Linked DNA regions of Xenopus tropicalis. The protein of the gene in region 2 purifies or fractionates together with the protein of the main gene of each other region. This does not show direct contact. Links are inferred from orthologs where the notes say so. Each region holds a gene or a part of one and is shown on either strand. Other genes may lie near its edges.

Evidence for each region.
Region 1: the proteins of fgfr1op (region 2) and cep78 purify together in Homo sapiens (affinity purification with mass spectrometry; 3 studies listed by BioGRID and IntAct, with this or other methods). This does not show direct contact. The link is inferred for Xenopus tropicalis from reciprocal best matches to the Homo sapiens genes CEP43 and CEP78.
Region 3: the proteins of fgfr1op (region 2) and ppp2r1a purify together in Homo sapiens (affinity purification with mass spectrometry; 5 studies listed by BioGRID and IntAct, with this or other methods). This does not show direct contact. The link is inferred for Xenopus tropicalis from reciprocal best matches to the Homo sapiens genes CEP43 and PPP2R1A.

The regions. Positions count from the first base shown.
Region 1 is NC_030677.2:132,571,617-132,575,136, forward strand, and holds part of cep78 (centrosomal protein of 78 kDa), read left to right. Parts: intron 1-2,146; coding exon 2,147-2,293; intron 2,294-3,061; coding exon 3,062-3,139; intron 3,140-3,520. UniProt on the Homo sapiens protein: Centriole wall protein that localizes to mature centrioles and regulates centriole and cilia biogenesis. Involved in centrosome duplication: required for efficient PLK4 centrosomal localization and PLK4-induced overduplication of centrioles.
Region 2 is NC_030681.2:56,955,806-56,959,325, reverse strand, and holds part of fgfr1op (FGFR1 oncogene partner), read left to right. Parts: intron 1-2,774; coding exon 2,775-2,912; intron 2,913-3,520. UniProt on the Homo sapiens protein: Required for anchoring microtubules to the centrosomes. Required for ciliation.
Region 3 is NC_030683.2:120,827,993-120,831,512, reverse strand, and holds part of ppp2r1a (serine/threonine-protein phosphatase 2A 65 kDa regulatory subunit A alpha isoform), read left to right. Parts: intron 1-112; coding exon 113-260; intron 261-1,021; coding exon 1,022-1,177; intron 1,178-2,417; coding exon 2,418-2,532; intron 2,533-3,404; coding exon 3,405-3,475; intron 3,476-3,520. UniProt on the Homo sapiens protein: The PR65 subunit of protein phosphatase 2A serves as a scaffolding molecule to coordinate the assembly of the catalytic subunit and a variable regulatory B subunit.

The DNA.
Region 1 (3,520 bases), on a different chromosome or scaffold from region 2:
TAAGAAATAGAAAATTAAATTGCAAAACTGCTCAGAAAGTTTATATTGTGTTAAGTTTTTTTGGGTATTGCAAAATAAAATATTTTTTAGCATGTGCCTAAAGTTATTACCTACTGCCATCATATTTCACATTCCACTTTATAGGGATCGTTCATCCTATACATCCTATACATTACTTGCCTAGGTGACTCTTAAAATCTAGGTCACATTCACACACACTATGGTCAGTCTTATCAGGAGTTAACCTGCCTGTATGTGTTTGGAGTGTGGGAGGAAACCAAAGTACCTGAAGGAAACAAATGCAGACAAAGGGTGAACATGCAAACTCTTTGATAATATCTGAGGAACATCAAGAATTTGGTGTTATAAAAAGCAAAGTGGGCAAGGTTTAATAAATTTTTAATAAATTCATGACAATCCATGAGTTGTCTGCAGATATATATGAAAGCAGAAGAGGTGATCTATAGTATAGAAAAAAATCAAATCAATATTATATTATGGGCAAATTCTAGATTTTCATAAATGTTGAATAGAGCTAAATTGTATAACCAAAGCGAAATTAGGTGGTGCATTATCTTAATAGCTTAACATGAAATCAAGTCATCACTCGTTTTATGCCACTAGAGGGTAGTCCTGGTCTGTAGAGACAATTCTTAAAGTGAAAAGTATTGCCATTTTAAACTATTATGATATTCTCCTGCAAGGTTTTTCCTTTGTGTTTTTGGCATTAACCTTGTATGTTATAGAATTCCCATAACACTGAACTGTGTGGTGCAAACAGTTTACTCAGGATGCTTTGGATTAATAAGATTCTTTTCTTTTGAATGGGTCACTATGAAAGTGTGACATTGTACTGACTGAGAGGGTGAGAATGTTGTGGTGCAGGACTGCACACATACATACATGTTGCTGCTAATGTTCATAAAAAAATGGCAACAAATGGAAAGCTGCATACTTTTTACTGAAATAATTTTCACTGTGCGTTAAAAGGACAAATAAATACTGACATTACGTAGACAAACTTACAAAAGCTATGCTTCTGCTACCAAACTTAAATGTCCTGTCAGCAGAAACTTACCTTTACCCTGATTTTATTTCAGCATTCTTTGACTTTGTCCTCTTAAGATACAATAATTGCTTATTTAAGCATTTTTTATATGTGAGTAATTAAAGTGCCAGTAAAAAAATAACATTAAAATAATAATCATTTATAGACCATATTTGTGAATAAAGCTGTCTGGGCTCACAAAGGAATAGATCGGGATCCTGGCTATTCTAAAAGTCTGCAAGCTTCTCTCTTTTAGGGTTTAAAGGAGTTGTTCACTTGAAATTAACTTTTAGTATTATGTAGACATTGATATTTTGGGACAATTTGCAATTGGTTTTCATTTTTTATTTTTTTTGTAGTTTTTCAGTTATTTTGCTTTTTATTTAGCAGCTCTCCAGTTTAGAATTTTAGCAGCTGGTTGTTAGGGCCTTGCTTACCTTAGCAACCAGGCAGTGGTGTGAATGGAATATGAATTGAAGAGGGACTAAATAGAAAGATAAGGAATAAAAAGTAATAATAAAAATAAAATTGTAGCCTCAGAGAGCAATAGATTTGTTCATTGCATATACCCATTTATTGTAGACCACTGCAGAATATGTTGGTGCTTTATAAATACGTGATAATAATATTATGGCTTGTGTTCCTACCTGTTGTGAATAGATATGGTGATTTTCCAATTTTTCCACAGAATAACAGAGAAAATACAATTTGAATCTATTCCCATTTAAATCCTTCTTCTTTTTAGTCATCAAGGGAAAACCCCTTGTTACTTGACTGACCATGTTTGGGCCTAATAGGAAGTTAGCTGTGTCCTGCTCCATACATTTCTAGGGTCACCTTGGTGACTACACAAAAAAAGGATTAAACAGTGAATTGGGAAAATCCATATTTTCTTCATGGCATCAGTATTTTTTGTATAATAGGTTTTATCCTTTAGATGTGTTGAACGTAAAGCCATATAGAATTCAACTTGATTTAAACCTTTTGTAGCAAATGCCAATTCACATGTTTAATGTAATGTTTTATGTTTAATGTACATGCAGTTATTTCTGTTTTTTTCTATTTAAATGTGTTTAATCATTCAACTTCTGTACTTAGGCAGATACTGCAGTGAAAGTGATTATGGATAGTGAAACCTCTTCAGAAAGTGAAAAATCTGACAATATTTTGAGTATCCTTGATCAAGAATATGCCGTGCCTGGATCTGGTGAAAAAACGAGTGTAAAAAATTACAAATGTCTCCAGGTACCAAGCAGCTAATGAGGCCAGTTACATAAATGTATTTTCATGATGTATGTTATGGTAGGCTACATGATTATAAATAAGTCTGTATGAATGTATTTATTTTCATAGAGTACATAAATGTTGGTTAATGCATGACATTTAAAAAGTTAAATTTTTTACTTTTCATTTTAAAAAGCAGTTTTATTTTCATGTTGTCTTCTTTACACAGAAGGCATAGAAAAGACTATTCCTTTTTAACAAACTGTCAGAAGCACTATCTGCAGTTGTATATAATATTTTACCTGTGCCAGGACACGCAATTTGACGGCTTCAGCTCTCAAGTTATAAAATGGCCTGTCCACACTGTTTAATGGTAATTTCAGGGAAATTATATGGATGAAAATAATTATTTATAACTTGGCATTAAACTTTTCTGCTAAAGCAGAGTGAAATGGATTCATAGGATCCGATCCTAGTGACTGCAACCTCACTGTGTGCCAGTAAAGAACATTCACCACAGAAATGCTGTGCCTTGTATATCAATATTATATAGTACAATAATAAACTGGGTTGATTGTCTTTGTGCCCATAGTCACAGGGGACACACATGTTTTATAATTTGTTTTTGATTTATTTATTTTTTGCTCTATATAATGGATCCCTAAAAGACATCTGATGTTAGTGTTAATGATTTACTTTCTGGGGCAGTGCCTTTGCTGAGCCGGCACAGCTAGAGGACTAGGAAATGTCCTGACCAAGGTGCCAAACTTACATACTTAATATTGGCAGGTTGAATTGCAGATATGTCAAAAAAATTTAAATGACGAAAGAAAAGCAAGATTACGGGCTGATGAACGGATAATGGAGGTACAGTAACCTAATAAACAGATTTTGTTCTTCCCCTAGGGAAGTCTGGGGCAGTGAAGCCATGAATATGCATAAGAAATAATACCTTTTTTGAAAGAAGTATTAGAAGTCCTAAAGGCACGATAGCATGAATTTACCGGACGCTAATATACTGTATGCATGAACACTAGTAATTGATAATTGATTCCAGGTAATCAAATTGCTATACTTAATCTACTGGCCAATGCCTAGTAAATTAAAAAAAAAAAAAATGCACCAGCCCAGGGAAAAAAGTTACAAAATTTGGCTTGCCTTTCTCAGGTATCCTAAGTGCAGATTTAGGGGCTGATTTACTAAGACACGAATTCGAATCCGAATTGGAAAAATTCCGATTGGAAAACG
Region 2 (3,520 bases):
GTTTTTCTAGGTAAACTAAAAGTTTCCCCTGGGAATATGCCCTTAAACTGAGACGGCCCCAAATGTTCAAAAACATCGGTCACTGAGTGCAAATAAAAGGCAAAATTCTGCTGGCATTTTAAAGCTTAAAAGTCCCAATGCCAATTGTACTTTTATCCAAAAAGTGTAGATTCTGTGATCCATGGTAATTTAAGGCATAATTGCATGATTAACTTAACATATTATGGATATAGTTATATAGATATGGGTTCTGTTTATAATAAATACACATACTATATATAAATCTTAAAATTCCCTGTTGAGTGCGGAGCTGTGTTTCTATTAATTTTGCTTCAAATGCCCAGGCAAGCTGAGGCACTTAGCACTCAACATGACTTTAAAGAATATATTTTGTTGGTTGCCAAGGTAGCCCAATGTTTCCGTTACTACCTCTGCTTTTATAAATAGTGTAGTGTGCTTATTTTGGTACAGCCTGTGTTGTATCATGGATAGTGCACAGACCTGATTACCAATAAGATCAATGGGCTTGTGCATAGCCTTAGTTAGAAGGAAGTTACACTGCATGCAGCTGTTGGGAGGATGCTTTGCATTCAGCACAGGGGAGGGCTGGACATTGCCACTGGTTTTGTGACATACGTAACAGCAAGGTGTTGCCACTCCCATTCAGCAATGACCTGAACTGGCTATCAGAGAAAAGGTCCTAACTGTGTGCAATATTTTTTATTCTATTTAGGAAAGTAAATGTGTTTATACAGTCATGGTCAAAATTGTTGGCACCCCAGAAATCTTTCCAGAAAATCAAGTATTTCTCACAGAAAAGTATTGCCGTAACACATGATTTGCTATACACATGTTTATTCCCTTTGTGTGTATTGGAACAGAACAAAAAAGGGAGGGAAAAAAGCAAATTGGACATAATGTCACACAAAACTCCAAAAATGGTCTGGGCAAAATTAGTGGCACCCTTAACTTAATATTTGGTTGCACACCCTTTGGAAAAAATAACTGAAATCAGTCGCTTCCTATAACCATCAATAAGCTTCTTACACCTCTCACCGGGAATTTTGGACCACTCTTCCTTTGCAAACTGCTCCAGGTCTCTCTTATTGGAAGGGCGCCATTTCCCAACAGCAATTTTAGATCTCTCCACAGATGTTCAATGGGATTTAGATCTGGACTCATTGCTGGCCACTTCAGAACTCTCCAGCGCTTTGTTGCCATGCATTTCTGGGTGCTTTATGACATATGTTTGGGGTCATTTTCCTGCTGGAAGACCAAAGATCTCGGACGCAAACCCAGCTTTCTGACACTGGGCTCTACAGTGCGACCCAAAATCCTTTGGTAATCCTCAGATTTCATGATGCCTTGCACACATTCAAGGCACCCAGTGCCAGAGGCAGCAAAACAACCCCAAAACATCATTGAACCTCCACCATATTTCACTGTAGGTACTGTGTTTTTCTCTTTGTAGGCCTCATTCCATTTTCGGGAAAACAGTAGAATGATGTGCTTTGTCCACAAGACGTTTTCCCAGAAGGATTGTGACTTACTCAAGTACATTTTGGCAAGCTGTAGTCTTGCTTTTTTATGTCTGTGTCAACAGTGGGGTCCTCCTGGGTCTTCTGCCATAGTGTTTCATTTCATTTAAATGTCGACAGATAGTTCGCTCTGACACTGATGCTCCCTGAGCCTGCAGGACAGCTTGAATTTCTTTGGAACTTGTTTGGGGCTGCTTATCCACCATCCGGACTATCCTGCCTTGCAACCTTTCATCAATTTTTCTCTTCCGTCCACGCCCAGGAAGATTAGCTACAGTGCCATGGATTGCAAACTTCTTGATAATGTTGCGCACTGTAGACAAAGGCAAATCTACATCTCTGGAGATGGACTTGTAACCTTGAGATTGTTGATATTTTTCCACAATTTTCGTTCTCAAGTCCTCAGACAGTTCTCTTCTCCTCTTTCTGTTGTCCATGCTTAGTGTGGCACGCACAGACACACAATGCAAAGACTAAGTGAACTTCTCTCCTTTTTATCTGCTTTCAGGGGTGATTTTTATATTGCCCACACCTGTTACTTGCCCCAGGAGAGTGTAAAGGAGTATCACATGTTTGAAACAATCTTGTTTATCCACAATTTTAAAGGGTGCCAATAATTTTGTCCAGCCCATTTTTGGAGTTTTGTGTGACATTATGTCCAATTTGCTTTTTTCCTCCCTTTTTTGTTCTGTACCAATACACACAAAGGGAATAAACATGTGTATAGCAAAACATGTGTTACTGCAATATAGAGCTGGGCGGTATGACCAAAAATTTATATCACGGTATTTTTCAAAATTATATCGGTATCACGGTATTTGACGGTATATAAATAAAAAATAAATAATAAATATTGGTGCCCCCCCCAACCACAACCCCCCCCAACCCCCCAGTTAATTTATCTATTTTTTTTGGCTCAACTAAGAATCGGCGTCTCTGGAGTTAACTAATTCAGGCAGTGCCTAGAAAATGCATAGACAATGTAGTTGTTGCCAGGCACACACACAACCCAGTGCAGACTTCTAACCCCCCCCCCCCCCCCAGTTACTCTGTGTCAAGTCCTGTCAGAAATTTCACATTGACCTAATACTCTACACACCAATGGAAAAGCCCCAAGGAATAACTGAATATGCAGGCAGCTATCATTTGTTTTTCTTATATATAAATTAAAATGTTATAGTAATCCTGAAGGGATCATCTTAAGGAGGGTGACTACTTCTACTTTGTATTTTTTAGGAAAATGGATATGACGATCGTAATCATTTAGCAAAGGAGCTTGGGATTGTTGAATCTGAAGGTGTGAAAAGTGGTCCACTGGCACTTGAGCTTGTCAGACGATGCCATCAAAAAGACAAGATTATAAGTGGGGGAGAAGTAAGTAACTTTTGCTAACAAAGTTTCTTAGTAAGCAAACAAGTTACTAATGGATGATTAAGTATATGGTGTTTGTTTTATCAACATTAACAAGGGTCCGGTCCTGATGCAATATACCCTTGACTACATAAAGCGTTTTGTTACTTTTGGCAGCCATTTTTGTTTTCATGATTTGCTCAAACGCTCATTCATCTAGTATAGTATCAGTGGATTGGAAGAAAGCCAATGCACTTCCAATATTTAAAAAGGAAAAATATTTTAGACCTGGCCTGTAAATGTATCTGCTTTGGAAAAGTTATACAGATATGGGGCCCTTTATCCAGAATGCTTGGGACCTGGGGTTTTCCGGATAAGGGGTCTTTTCATAATTCTCCTACCCTAAGGGGCACATTTACTAACCCACGAACGGGCCGAATGCGTCCGATTGCGTTTTTTTCGTAATGATCGGTATTTTGCGATTTTTTTCGGAAATTATTGCGACTTTTTCGTTACCAATACGATTTGCGCGAAAAAAGTCGCGATTTTTTCGTAGAGTTAAAACTTGCGCAAAACGTTGTGCCTTTTAAGTTTTAACGCTATGAAAAAAATCGCCAGATTTTGCGCAACTT
Region 3 (3,520 bases), on a different chromosome or scaffold from region 2:
TTACCTACTATAATCTCTTCAGTCCTTTTAATGAAAACAGTTTTATTAAACGTTGCAATAAAACAGCACATTTTCATTATATAAAAAATGCGCACATTCTTTTTCTCTATAGGCACTTCCGAAACTTGTGCTCAGACGATACTCCCATGGTGAGAAGAGCCGCTGCTTCCAAGTTGGGGGAGTTTGCTAAAGTTTTGGAGTTGGAAAATGTGAAGAGTGAAATAATTCCCATGTTTTCCAACCTAGCATCTGATGAGCAGGTAAACTGATTGCAGGTCTTGCCACATATATTCTACGAGAATGTCCTGAATTAGAACATGTATATGTGTGTATATATATATATATAATATACATGCCGCCATTAAGCAAACTGAAAGCTTTTATTGCAGGTGAGGTTCTAACAATCGACTTCAAAATATCTAAAGACTGAAAACAGTTTGCAACTTTAGACACGGGCAGAAGCATTATTTATTTATTTTATTTATTTGTGATCGTTTACATATACTGTACATTACTTTTGTAAGGTTATTTTAATCTATTAACTGATTGATTGTAGCCATGGAAATATATATTTAAATAAATGTGTGTCTGCATGTATGTCTATATCTGTCTATAAAATATTATGGATTAGCACCCTCGTGTGAAAATTGTAATTTATGTACTATTGTACAGCATCTGTGCCCAAAGTTTCTGGGACCCTTTCTGTGAAACTTCACATATATTACATACTTAAGTGCTTTCCCCTAATAATGGTAAATTGGAACCAAATGGTATCGTTAATGAATTATTGAACTGTAAGTGCTTTTCAGTCCAGAAGTTGATACCCTATTTTGCCACAAGGTGTCACTATAAATGTTCAATCATAGTTTATGATACAAATTACTTACAAATTTAAATTATACTTTCATACACACACTTTCTAACTTAGTACCAATACTGTACTACTATACTCCGATATTTAAACCGTTGTTTATGCTTGTTTCTGATTTTTTTTGTTGTTTGTAATTCTGGCTTTTCCCAGGATTCAGTGCGCTTGTTGGCAGTCGAGGCTTGTGTAAACATTGCTCAGCTTCTACCCCAAGAAGAGCTGGAACCACTGGTTATGCCCACACTGCGCCAGGCAGCTGAAGATAAATCTTGGAGAGTAAGATACATGGTGGCAGACAAGTTCACAGAGGTAAAACCTTGATTAAAATTACAAAAAGAATTTGGCTGGGGTTTTTTATCCTTAAATTTATGTTAATGTTTACAAAGAATTAGATCTACTTTAGGTGTTTCACTGTAGCTGTTTTGAGCCTAGACTTAGTAGGAAGTGGCAGTGGACTGGCTGCTGTTGGGATCCTAATGTGAAATTTACCACTGCATAAAGCAGAGAACAGTAGTTTACGCTTTTCTCTACCTTTAACTCTTGCCTAGGGATGCCCTAAATCTGCCACGAAAGCTATGGCTAAATCCCGAACTGAATCAAAATTCACATACGTAAATTGGCTAAATTATGGAGGGTGACATTTGTGGACAAAAATTTGTCAACCTTTGGTCTGGCATTGTGATGCTTTTTTAAATATTCACAATAGTTAGAATTTGGGTTTGGTTTGTTCAGGCACTCATTCATCTAAATCAGGGGTCTCCAACCTTTCAATCTGCAGTGCATGTATTGTGATACTTACAAGCTGCCACATCATTGTGGTAACTACACCTGTACCAGTTGCCCTTATAAATGTTTTCTTAAAGGTTCTTTGTATTCTTCCTCTGAGCTGCCCCAAAAACTATTGATTTACAGAAGGCAGATTTATGTATATGTATAATCAAGTGCACTTTGCCAAAATGTATCCCTGTGGGATACATGTAGGACTAATTTAGAAGCCTCTTCCTAGAAAAGCTAAATATATTAAAGACACTACAATTTTTGCCCAGATGTCTGTCATTTCCAATTTAGAATATTCAACACCCAGAATTAGGCCAACGTCATCTATGGCAAATGTGCTGTAAATGGATTGTTCCATCCAAGGAATATTCTGTGAGCTTGCAGTTTTATCTTCAGAAATATATGAATTGTATCTAACGCCTTTGTTAAAGTTGTCTCGGACAAGTGTTTTTATTTCCCTGAGAAACAGGTATTTTAAATGAATGTGTTTTTACCCTGTATTTGGATCAGGTCCCTTGTCAAGTGGATCTATCTTGTGAGTTTGTAGATTGTAAGCTCTTTTGGGCAGGGCTCTCTTCACCTCCTGTATCGGTTATTGATTGCTTTATATGTTACTCTGTATGTCCAATGTATGGAACCCACTTATTGTACAGCGCTGCGGAATATGTTGGCGCTTTATAAATAAATGTTAATAATAATAATAATAATAAAGTCTGTCAAACTTCATAAGTTCATAGTGCCTCCAGTGCTAATATTTCTGTTTGTCTTTTAGCTTCAGAAAGCTGTTGGTCCAGAAATCACCAAAACAGACTTGGTTCCTGCTTTCCAAAACCTGATGAAAGACTGTGAAGCCGAAGTACGAGCTGCTGCTTCCCATAAAGTTAAAGGTTAGAAATCAAGTATTCTAGTCAGGACCATATGTGTATATATAGTCAACCTAGGGGGCAGCCTATATAGAAAAAAAAAATGCTACAAACACCCCCCCCCATCCACTCTCTTTCAATGTATATACATAGACTGTCCTGTGCATTCATGGATCAGGATGGGCAGGGGGCCCAGTGCTAAGGGCATTGCCTGAACTAAATACAGGCCTGGTTGTAATATGTATTATTGCAACTTGCTATATCAAAGGTATTCAAACTGGCAAATATATGGGGGATTGTGGTAACCGAGTGTTAAAATAGGAACATCCTGAATGTCATTCATGTGACTCACTAATCACGTGGCAAATGTTACTGACTGTGCAGTTAGCGTTGGCATTCAGCAGCTTTGTTATTTATAACTGAAAAGGAAAGTGGAAATGGAATCCCTGGAGTACAAATGAGTTTCCCTGTACAACATGACTGCACCTCCCATGCAGCTAATTTGCTCCTTGCTGTCAAACTAGTTGTCCTTACAATCTTTCTAAATTCCCAATCCTGTTCCTTCAGTATAAACTATAATTTGTGACACATTCCTAATACTATCTCAGAGGTCACTTATAGTTTTAGAGTGTGTCCCATCTGATAAGGAACGAAAAAAAAATCAATGAAAAATTTGGCCTGAATGGCCTTGTGGAAATTGCATTATATATCAGAGTAGCATGGGAATCCATAGAAACGAATCTGTTGCAGTTATTAGCCCACATTGTCACTATGGTGCTCTAGAACTTTCACAGGTCTGGATTTTTTGGACTGATCTTTTAATCAAAGACAAGACCTTGAAATGGAGGAAGACATTTATTTTTTTACTTATATCTTCTGCTTATGCCCTATTTTAGAATTCTGTGAGAACCTGTCTGCCGACTGCCGCGAGAATGTAATAATGACACAGATTCTGCCTTGTGTCAAGGTATGTTCTGTTCTATCACTCTTCCTATATTTATTTAGGGGCCCA